Cricetulus griseus: one gene and its partners. The protein of the gene in region 1 interacts with the protein of each later gene in a pairwise test. Links are inferred from orthologs where the notes say so. Each region holds a gene or a part of one and is shown in the gene's direction. Other genes may lie near its edges.

The links.
Region 2: the proteins of Atxn2 (region 1) and Rbfox1 interact in binary tests that used the Homo sapiens proteins (3 or more experiments, as listed by UniProt). The link is inferred for Cricetulus griseus from reciprocal best matches to the Homo sapiens genes ATXN2 and RBFOX1.
Region 3: the proteins of Atxn2 (region 1) and Sh3gl3 interact in binary tests that used the Homo sapiens proteins (3 or more experiments, as listed by UniProt). The link is inferred for Cricetulus griseus from reciprocal best matches to the Homo sapiens genes ATXN2 and SH3GL3.

The regions. Positions count from the first base shown.
Region 1 is NC_048597.1:101,660,466-101,664,116, forward strand, and holds the end of Atxn2 (ataxin-2), read left to right. Parts: intron 1-168; coding exon 169-396; intron 397-2,116; coding exon 2,117-2,285; intron 2,286-3,096; coding exon 3,097-3,125; coding exon of another isoform or gene 3,126-3,204; 3' UTR 3,205-3,519; downstream 3,520-3,651. UniProt on the Homo sapiens protein: Involved in EGFR trafficking, acting as negative regulator of endocytic EGFR internalization at the plasma membrane.
Region 2 is NC_048600.1:39,428,631-39,432,281, reverse strand, and holds part of Rbfox1 (RNA binding protein fox-1 homolog 1), read left to right. Parts: intron 1-1,238; exon of another isoform or gene 1,239-1,241; coding exon 1,242-1,481; intron 1,482-3,651. UniProt on the Homo sapiens protein: RNA-binding protein that regulates alternative splicing events by binding to 5'-UGCAUGU-3' elements. Regulates alternative splicing of tissue-specific exons and of differentially spliced exons during erythropoiesis.
Region 3 is NC_048596.1:115,310,357-115,314,007, reverse strand, and holds part of Sh3gl3 (endophilin-A3), read left to right. Parts: intron 1-2,159; coding exon 2,160-2,263; intron 2,264-3,252; coding exon 3,253-3,362; intron 3,363-3,651. UniProt on the Homo sapiens protein: Implicated in endocytosis. May recruit other proteins to membranes with high curvature.

The DNA.
Region 1 (3,651 bases):
TGGGCTTGAGAACCCAGAAAAGACCATCTGGACAAGAGATGCCCATGATGCTCTTCTCCCTGCATCTCCTGGGCATGGCTAGAGTTGGGTGGGGCTTCTGCTGCCTTCAGTGTGTGAAGCTCTGACCCTAATGACTTCTCAGTAAAGAAGTTTCCCATTGCTTTGCAGCACCATCAACATCAAGCCGCCCAAGCTCTTCATCTGGCCAGTCCACAGCAGCAGTCAGCCATTTACCACGCGGGGCTGGCACCAACCCCACCTTCCATGACACCTGCTTCCAATACACAGTCTCCACAGAGCAGTTTCCCAGCAGCACAACAGACGGTCTTCACCATCCACCCTTCTCATGTTCAGCCGGCATATACCACCCCTCCCCACATGGCCCACGTACCTCAGGTAAACCAGCACTAGCCAAGTTTCTGTGAAGGCCACGTAGGGTGTGGTGGTTGTCAGATAAGCAGCAAGGAGCCAGATGCTCCCCAAGCCAGGAAACCCTATGTGTGGTGCCATCTGCCTGTCTCCCCCTCCCTGCTTAGTATGTGATCTTCTGGCCCTCAGTGAATGTTGCTATGATTTTGTGATGGGATCAGTGAAATTGTGACTTAGCAATTCCCAGCTGAGACCTTAAAACTCTGAGTCTGGAATGCACCCCAGTCCTTTCCTTTCTGTGTCTGCTTTGCTCCGTCTTTCTAGCTTAACCACTATGTGTCTATGTGTCCACACACAGACACCTCTACACATGCACACATGGGAGCCCGGAAGGGATGGCAGGCAGGCTTTCAATGGTTCTCAGCTCTCTGAGGTGACTGCACTAGGCCTGTTAGCTTGAATGTTAGACACACGAATTCCGGGACGGGTCTCAGTTGTTTGCCTGGTTACCCTCTATCTGCTGCAATCCTGTGTTGTGCTTCCTGAGCGCTTGGCCTTGGACTATGGTGCAGTGTAACTGAAGCTCCAGGGCAGCCCAGGGCCAGGGGAGGCCTCCATGGCTCTTAGTGTGAGGTGGCTGCATCAGGTGTCTCTGCTACTTTGATTGTAGCTGCCTGAGGCGGGTCTCACTTAGGTTTACTGAATGACTCCATTTCCTGTCACAGTGCGCCAGTGAGGCTCTGGCAAGGTGTGAGCTAGGGATGCTGTGCAGTTGGGTCTCTTGCAGAAGGCTAGTTTGTTACTAGGTGTTCTTTCCCCAGAGCTAAGGGTCTGTAGTATATACTCCTGTTGATTGGCTGGTGACAGTTGGGAGGGGAGCCAGTTTGGTCAGTGTGCTTTGGTGGAGTGAAACTTAAGAGAGCCAGGGTCCTGTAAGTGTCTAGCAGAGGCTGCGAATTTACTTTAAGATGGGCTATCCCCAAACCTCAATTGTGTGTTTGTGTAGAAGGGTAAGAGGCTTAACATAGGGAAAACAGAGAACCATGGGCCTGTTTGAAGGTGTGAACCAGCACTTCGCTGGGGTGATGGTCTAGAGCAATGCACACGATGGGAGGCAGGAAGCAGCCTCTTCCTGCTCTGCCCACTCCCTGCAGAGCTGAGGTCGAGCTCACCAACCGGTCAACCAACATCACTTTTCTAAGTTAGACTTGTTGCCACTTGGTACAGGACACCAGGCTGACCCAACTTCAGATCATTCTCATCTCATTGGAGCCATTAACTGCACCCTTTGCTCCATCAGCCAAGCTATTACATTGAGGGGCCTAAGTGCTGCTTCATTGTTTCTGGGGAACCCATCACGACTTGGGGAGGGCGGAAGAGGAGAGACTCAGGAAGCTGCTATGGGTGCTGGGGAGGTAGTCTCCTCACAGGCCCTTCCTTGTCAGTTGCTTTCTGACTTGAAAAGGGCATTGATGTATTTGGCTCCATGCCATAGCAAGTTAAGTATGTGCCCCTCCCGCCCCAATAGAGGCCTGCTCTTGGTGAAGACCTTGCCCTGTGTGATAATCTGTGAGCAGGCACTGGGGACTAGGAAGATGTGGCCAACTTTCCCATCCCAACCCTACAGGATCTGCCTCAAGGAGTCCATCTTGCCCCTTCTTGAGTCCCAGTCCAATGAAAGGAACAGTTGACTTGTTGTTTAAGACGGAGATGTTGCCTGTATGCGTAAAAGAGCTCTCTGTTTCAGGCTCATGTACAGTCAGGAATGGTTCCTTCTCATCCAACTGCCCATGCGCCAATGATGCTAATGACGACACAGCCACCCGGCGGTCCCCAGGCCGCCCTCGCTCAAAGTGCACTACAGCCCATTCCAGTCTCGACAACAGCGCATTTCCCCTATATGACGCACCCTTCAGGTGAGGCGTGTGTGTGCAGGGGCCGCCGGGGCACCCCGAGCATTCTGCTCGCACAGGTAGAATGGCAGGCAGGACCAGTGAGTGTTTCAGGCTCCAAACCTGACTAATAAGGCCCGTCCAAGTGTTTGCAGGAGGGATTGTGATGGTCAGGGAGCATCAGGGCTCAGGGCCTCTGGAGCTGAGTCTGTGTGTGTTCTGCTGGTATCAGGGTTGGCTTGAGAAGCAGCAGCCTCATTCTGGGTAGCTGATGCATGCCGAGGACTCAGTTGGCCTTCCTGGTTATGTATGACAGGCTGGACAGGGCAAGCGTGTTCCTTCCTGAGTCCCTATAGGCTGATGTGGGGGGTTTATACCCATGGCCGACTTTGATTGTAGCTTGGAGAACACTGATGAGCTGTGTGCGGACTGGATTGAGTGTAGTTTTAGCCCCAGCCTGTGCCCTGACACAGGACACCCATGATGTCTCGTACTGGATGGCTGCTGTGGCAATACCTGTCTCCCCTGTGACTTGGAAAGTATTGGTGCTTGGCTAGCATTAGTGGGAGGGGGTTTGAAGGCCTGTGCTCCTGCCCCACAAGCAGCAAGTCCAGGACTTGTATCTGAAGTGGTTTCACGTCTGACTGGTTTGTTTCTCCTCACCCCCTTCCCTCCCCAACCCCACCTTGGCTGCAGCTGGGGGGAGAGGGGCGCTAGCATTAAACCTCCAGTGTTACTCAGCAGGAGAGTAGATGACAGTCATGTGCTGCAGACACTAGGTTGGTGGGCAGTGGTGCCTGTGTTCTGTTTAAATAGCCACTTTTCTTTTTTACAGTACAAGCCCACCACCAACAGCAGTTGTAAGGCTGCCCTGGAGGAACCGAAAGGCCAAATTCCCTCCTCCCTTCTACTGCTTCTACCAACTGGAAGCACAGAAAACTAGAAGTTCATTTATTTTGTTTTTTAAAAAAATACACTGATTTAACATCCGATAGGAATGCTAACAGTTCACTTGCAGTGGAGGATGTTTTGGACCGAGTAGAGGCATGTAGGGACTTGTGGCTGTTCCATAATTCCATGTGCTGTTGCAGGGTCCCGCAAGTACCCAGCTCTGCTTGCTGAAACTGGAAGTTATTTATTTTTTAATGGCCCTTGAGAGTCATGAACGCATCAGCTAGCAAAAGAAGTAACAAGAGTGATTCTTGCTGCTATTACCGCTTTAAAAAAAAAAAAAAAATCAAGACTTGGAACGCCCTTTTACTAAACTTGACAGAAGTTCAGTAAATTCTTACCGCCAAACTGACGGATTATTATTTATAAATCAAGTTTGATGAGGCAATCACTGTCTACAGTGGTTCAACTTTTAAGTTAAGGGAAAACTTTTACTTTG
Region 2 (3,651 bases), on another chromosome or scaffold:
TCTCCTGTTGACAGCACTTATTGATGTGTGTGCCCTGCAATTCTTGTAGAAGGACTAAAGTCACATGTAACTGTCCACAGAAAAGGGGTGTGGCCACTAATTGCTGAGCTTAATTGCCTGCCTTCCTTAATTTCTTCCTTCCTTCCTTGCTTCCTCCCTCTTTCCCTGCCTTATTCCGTCCCTCCTTCCCACCCTTCTTCTACCCCCTTTCTTTTTGACTGTACACTTGAATCTCCTGAGGCCACTGAAGTTTTGGACCTCTAGTCTACTGCTTCTTATGCATTTTGCATATGTGTATGCAGAGTGTGGGAAGGGTGTTGGAGTTATGGGGGTGGAGGTGGAGGGAGGGAGATGTTTCCAGAAATGGAAACATTTGAATTCAGGTTTTTTTTAATTCTTTTGACTTGACTGTAATTATCATGCATGTTTAGGCTATAACTGAAGGGTGAATTGTTATATAATCACACACACACACACACACACACACACACACACACACACACACACACATATATATATATATATATATATATATATATATATATATAAGACAGGGTGAGGGGCATTGATTAATGAGTCTCAGAGTTAAATCCAGAATCTGAAAGGGAGAAAGTAGGGATATCACAGGGTTTCTCTAAATTAAGGCCTAAATTTCCATTGGCTGCTTTTATCACAGATATGCATACAATAATAACACACACACACACACACAGAGAGAGAGAGAGAGAGAGAGAGAGAGAGAGAGAGAGAGAGAGAGATCTTTACTAGGGCCCTTCAAAAGTACCTAACAATTGAAATCAGTCCAAATGCTTCTCTCAAGCACACACTCAGTGTTCTTGGCACTGTATCAAATTGGGACTCCAGTGTCACCATAGATGACACAATGTTAACCTCTTCCAAAATTGAGGTGAAACAAAGAGGATTTTCCAGTGGTAGACAGACCCTACAGTCTTAGCCAATCAGGTGTACAGATCATGTAGTCTCCGCAAGTTTGATTGGAGTCTTGGGGAAAGTGACTTCATCATTGTGTGCCTTGATTTTTCCATCTATACATCGAGAATAATGATGACTGCTGTTTGCTCACAGTGACTTCCTGAAGGTTTGGCTGGGGTGGTCCCTCTTGGGCTGGAGGTCTTCAGCTGGACCCTAGGAAGTGTGCTGGGACTTGAATCCCTGGGCTCTTTTGAACAGTTCTGTTTGCAGAGCAATAATAGTGTTCTGTCTTTTTTTTCCTCTCTCAGGGTAATCAGGAAGCAGCGGCCGCCCCTGACACAATGGCTCAACCTTATGCCTCAGCCCAGTTTGCTCCACCTCAGAATGGCATCCCCGCAGAATACACGGCCCCTCATCCCCATCCCGCGCCAGAGTACACCGGCCAGACCACCGTCCCCGACCACACATTAAACCTGTATCCTCCTACACAGACGCACTCGGAGCAGAACGCTGACACAAGTGCGCAGACCGTCTCCGGCACCGCCACAGTAAGTGGATGCTGCATCCTAGACCTGGAGGGTGCTGTTCCCAAGCAGGTGCCCCAGTCCTGCTGCTGGTAGTGAACCATGTACACTGTGTGCTAGAGATCTTGTCAAGCAAAGCAGCTCTATTCCTCTCCTTATATTACCAACTTTCCAGTGACTGGGCATCCTTCCTTACTAGTTAGAACATGTTTCCATTTGCCATATTTATTTGTAAATGGACATAGGCATCTATTTTCCTGTCTCTAAAGTGATGAGTTGAACACAATGCTATCCCAGTAGAGTGCATACTTTTAAGCTATTTCATGGAAATATGGGGGTCAGGGGATGTAGCTCAGATATAGAGTGCTTGTTTGGCATGTCCAAATTCTTGGGTTTAGTCTTCAGCACTGTAAAACCAGCAACAACAAAAAACACAACTTGGACACATAACTTAGCCACCACAAATTTATCTGTTTTAGGTGTATGGTTTGCTGGTTTTAAGAACATTTACACAGCTGTGTAACCATTGCCAAATTTTGATGTTAGAACATTTTTTAATCAATCCTAAAACAAAGCTTGGGCCCATTTGCAGGCCAGCCATCTTTATTCTTGGGTGAGTTCATTTGAGTCTCATTTATATTTGTATCTATGTGTCCTTAGTTTGTGATGTGTTGTTTGTGCATTGGATCATATCAAGTAATCAAGAATGGCCTTCAGCTTTCTGTGTGGGGTGGAAATAAGCTTGAACTAAGCCTCTTCCCTGAGCCTAAGTGCTGGGATTGCAGGGATGCCCTATCATGTCCAGTTTCTGCAGTGCTAGGAACAGAACCCAGGGCTTGGTGCATGCTAGGCCAGCACTCTCCTAGCCAAGCTATACCATCTAGCTGTAGTCTGTGGGAGTTTGTTGCTAGTACATAAAGAAGGGATAGATATGAGGGATTATTAGTTGGGCAGGAAAAGTGTTAATCCTTAAGAAATATAAACAGAAAGATGGACTTGATGGATAAGAATTAAGCAAGCAATCAGAAGGCAGAGACAAAATTTTATAGCCACCCTATGTGAAATCTAGTAGTGGGATGGTAATCAAACATGACTGTGGGCACCAATATTTACATTAAAATTAGATGCTCATCTATGAACCACCTATAATAATTAAGGATCTGTAAACCTGTATAGTCCATGTTGTGGAAAACTTCCTCTGCAAAATTCATTAGAGATGCAAATAAGCTCTAGCATGTAGCATTTTACTGGTGTAAGGCAATGCTGCCTCTTCCTTCCACCCTCAAGGGCCTGGAAACCCAGAATCCTGACACTGAACATACCTGTGTTGGGCACATGTGTAAGTAGCTCCCATCTTTGTACTGCTGAATACCTATTTCATTGCATGGACATACCACAGCTTGTTTTTCCATTGTGCATAGATATGTGGGTTGTTCTCTCTCCATGGTAACTCACGGAAAATTAAAACTAATGTGAACACAAGTAAGCATGTCAAGTGCAAAACAGAAGAGAAGCAAGAATAGGTGTGTTAAAGTATAAAGAAACAGAGACAAACACTTTCTTGAGACTTTCATTTTCTAAATATGTATGACCTTCATTTTCTCCCTGTAACAACTGAGAGTGAGGGGTGGTATTTGGAAATGAGGGAGAGTGATTTGGGATTTGGGCAAAGATGCCAGGAAAATGCTCTGAAAAATATCCTAGAATATTTGAAAGCATGGAAATCCTGAGTTTAGAAAGCATGCTTTTGTGGTGGGGCTGGCCATTGCTTTGTCTTCCCTGGTCCTATTTAAATGATGCACACTATAGGAGAGGAAGTAATAGAAGATAGATACCATCTTTTCTGCTTCAAACAGTTATATGCAGATTCTTTCCTCTCTTTGGCCAAAAAGGAAGGTACTTATATGTGTCTGGGTATATACCCATGAAGAGGTCAAAGGAACTCCTTGAATGTCCTCTATGGCTCTCCACCCTAGTCTCTTGAGACAAGGTCTATCACTGGACCTGGAACTCACTGTCTTTTCAGGTAGGTTGACAGGCCATCAAGTGCCAGCAGTGTTCTTATCTCCAGCCCCCACTGCCCCAGTGTCAGAGGCACACTGTGGTCACACCTGGCTTTTATACATTCAGACTGGGAACAGAACTCAGGTTCCCAGGCTTATACACACATGCTCCTGCCTGCCAGTCCTTCTCT
Region 3 (3,651 bases), on another chromosome or scaffold:
TAAGTTTGTTGCTGTAGCATAGCTCTTTCTTTCTATGTATTTTTGAGTTGTTTGAGCCTTGGAAGCAGAGGCCACATCTACTGGTTCCCAGCACACAGTTCACATCCTGGACTAGGGGTGGGAGTGGGGCTGGAAAGTTCCGGTTTCCAACAGTGATAGATAATCCAGTTTGGGTCTGACTTGCCTTTGCACTCATTAGTAACTACTCTCAGTACTTTCCCTGGGTACCCACTGTTTGCAGGTACCACGTGTAGTGGTGCTGTTGTCTGTCAAACGTTTAGGGGTTCTGGGTTCCATTGCCTCCCCAAAGTCAGCTATCAATTGAAGAATTCCAGATGCAGCTCCAGATGTCAGAGAAACAGTTGGTGATCCCCATTCCCATTTGCAGAAGGTTAGCCATTTAAGTTTCATAAATGACAAGCTTAGTTCAAAGAAGTGGGTACAAACAGACTTATTACTAAAGACAGAGGGGCCATAGCAGTTCTTACTGAGTGTGCAGTTTCAGGGTTGCAAGGAAGCAGCATTGTTTCATAGCAGATTCTGCCATGATCATGTCAGGCTGTGGCGCTGGCCTTGTTAAAAGTGTTCTTAAAAGCCAAGGAGGTGAAACTTAAGAAATCCTTAGGATTTTGCAGGGGCCAGACTGTCTTTGTTTTGTTTATTGGGTTTTTGGAAATGGAAAGCCCATGCTGCTTTTCTAGCCACAGAGCATGGTGAAGTAAGTGCAATGCCAGGGCTTGCCTTAGTCATGTGCCCATTGCGTTCCTGGCATGAGTGGGAACCATGTATGTTGTAAATGCACATTAAACCCATGTTTAAAATAAGTGGGTGGTAAAAGTAAAGGGCAGGCAGCTGAAAGAGTTCTCAACAATACATGGAGGCAGCATGGATCTGTGGAAGCCAGCAAGTCCTCAGGTGGCTATGTGGGAGACAAGAGACTACAGAGTGAGGAAGCAGCCAGGTTTTGCCCCAGACTGGTTGGAAGACCTGGGACACATAGTTTTGATTTGTATCTCTGTCTGGAGCTGGAATATCAGAGATTTGGGGTGGGCATGGGGTGGATGGGTTGGGGAATTGCCTCAATCCTCTGGACCTTGCTATAGAAGGTTCTAGAAATAAACTTAATCCTTATTTCCTGTAGTGGTTCTTGAACCCACTGATAAGCAGGAAACTCTCAGGCCCCCTTCAGCTCTGCAGATCTTTGGGCTTGTCAGTTTGTGGGAAAGGGGAACAGTGGAGTCTGCACTGCTCATCCCTTTCTGCTGTGTGTTTCAGGAGAAAGACTTTGTTGGATGGTAACAGAAACACAGGGACAAACAATTCATTGGCCTGGAGCAGGTGTGACCTGCATGCTGCCCCTGCTTTCTCTGGTCATGGGTTCATTGGCTTTGTTTCTTATTCTGACTTAACTAGAAAGCACTCACAGAGACATGCCATTAAGAAAGCTCATCTCTCAAGCATTGGTTTCACTTACAGTTGGGCAAACTCTCTCCCACTGTGGTGGTTTGAAAGAAAGTGGCCCCCAAAGGGAGTGACAATATTAGGAGGTATGTCTTTGTTGGAGTATGTGTGGCTTTATTGAATGAAATGTGTCATTGTGGAGGTGGGCTTTGAAGTCTCATATATGCTCAAGCCCAGTGTCTCAGACCGCTTCCTGTTGCTTGTGAGTCAAGATATAAGAACTCTCAGCTCCTTCTCTGCCTGCATGCTGCTCTGCTTCCTGCCTTGACAATAATGGACTAAACCTCTGAACTGTAAGTAAGCCACCATGATTAAATGTTTTCCTTTATAAGAGGTGCTGTGGTCATGATGTCTCTTCCCAGCAATAATACTCTAAGCCACCTGCCATCTTCAGATCCACGTGTTTTAGGGCATTGAGAATAATTGTAAGAATATCATTCTATAACTTTAAAATGGTGTTTGGTTGGAATTACAGTGGATTCATGATCACAGATCAATTTGGCAGTGTTTTTCCAGCCTCTCCAGCTCCATGTGACCCTCATCATGACTGTAGGGCTCCGAGGTGGATGAGATGAGATGGACTGGACCAGGGCTGAGGCTGCCCTACAGAGATGAGCTGTTGTCACCAGGTTTCCTGTTTGCTCTGGACATCCCAAGAGCTCTGGCCAGCATGGAGTAACTTTGTATTTCTATCACAGATAGAGCAAGTCAGCCAGCTGGCCGTGTTTGTAGAGGCAGCATTAGACTATCACAAGCAGTCCACAGAGATCCTCAAGGAGCTACAGAAGAAGCTAGAGTTGCGGTAAGCACTTTTGCTTTGCTTAGGCAGGGGGCTGCAGAGTGCAGCCACCATCTGTCCTCTAGCCCCTTCTGCCCATTCTGTTTGGAATTCTCAAGCTGGCTTTCAGGTTGGGTATGAGATGAGGCTAAGATAATATATATGTAGCTTGGGACAAGAGGGCAGAACAGGGTAAAGGGCTGGAATGGCTTCCCTCCTTTTTCTTTTTATTAATGTCCCTCCATTTGTGACCCATCCTGCCTGAGCTCCTGTGGCTTCCTTGCTGCTTGACAAAGGGTTCACTCTGTTTACCTGTTGAGAGGTGGAGTGTGTGCTGAGAGAGCCAGATGACACTCAGAACTATATAAAAATGTTATCAGGCTGTGCTCAATGATAGCCTCTAAATGATAAGAAATACTGTTCTCTGCCTTGGGACTTTTATGGTCTGTGCAATTCCTACTTTCTGAAAATCAGTAATATCATTTACAGTGTGCACAGCAGCCCCATTAATCAAATTATTGGGCTAAACCTACACTATGTTTTGATTAGGCTTTATAACAGAAAATTGTTTTACATAGGATTATAGTAATGAATAAATTTGGAGAGATTTTTTGCTTCAGTTGGTGCTGTAGTTACACAGGGGAGGCCATTCCAGAAGCATCCACTTCTGTAGGCAGGTGGCCTTCTTCTAGGTGTCATATGAACATATTTGGATGGTTCCCTCTCCAGCAGAGAGGAAAGAAGGCAGCTAGCCTATGGCAGTGTCTGCTAGGCCTCAGGGACATTATGAGGACATTCTTCCCGGTGAATTTCAACTAGAAACTAAAGTACACAATGGAAGAACTGCACACCGCTCATATCCCTGACACTCGGGGTGCCCAGAAGTCAGTGTACACAATCCTTGTTCTCACAATCTCATTGGGTCTGGTGGTCTTCAAGAATAGCAAAGGCCTGTTGGTGGCTCTACTGTCTGGGAAAAAGGTCTGACTTGGCCTCTCCCATGTGTATTACAGAATATCGGTTACCTCCAAAGAGGCCAAGCGAGAATATATGCCAAAGCCTGTGAACACGAGCTCCAGTGATATCAATGGAGTCTCTTCCAGCACGACATCAAAGATGTCAGGTAAGTTAGCCGTCTGAGTGTGCCCAGTGGGCTCTCCAGTTAGGTGCTTTCACCCTTGTATGTTGGTGAGGCTGTTGGTGGGAATGCACTGAGAAACCGGTGGGCTTTCCTCAGTTGATTGATGAGTTCCCCTTTTCCCAGTTCCATTGTGAGGTATTGAAATTTTGAAAGCCAGTACTGGGAAGAAGTCCCTTGTGTACTAATGTTGTTAGACATCCGCTTGGCTAAATACCCATAGCTGCTATGTTATTTTCTATATTTAAAGGTCTACACCTTCAAAATAGCTTCC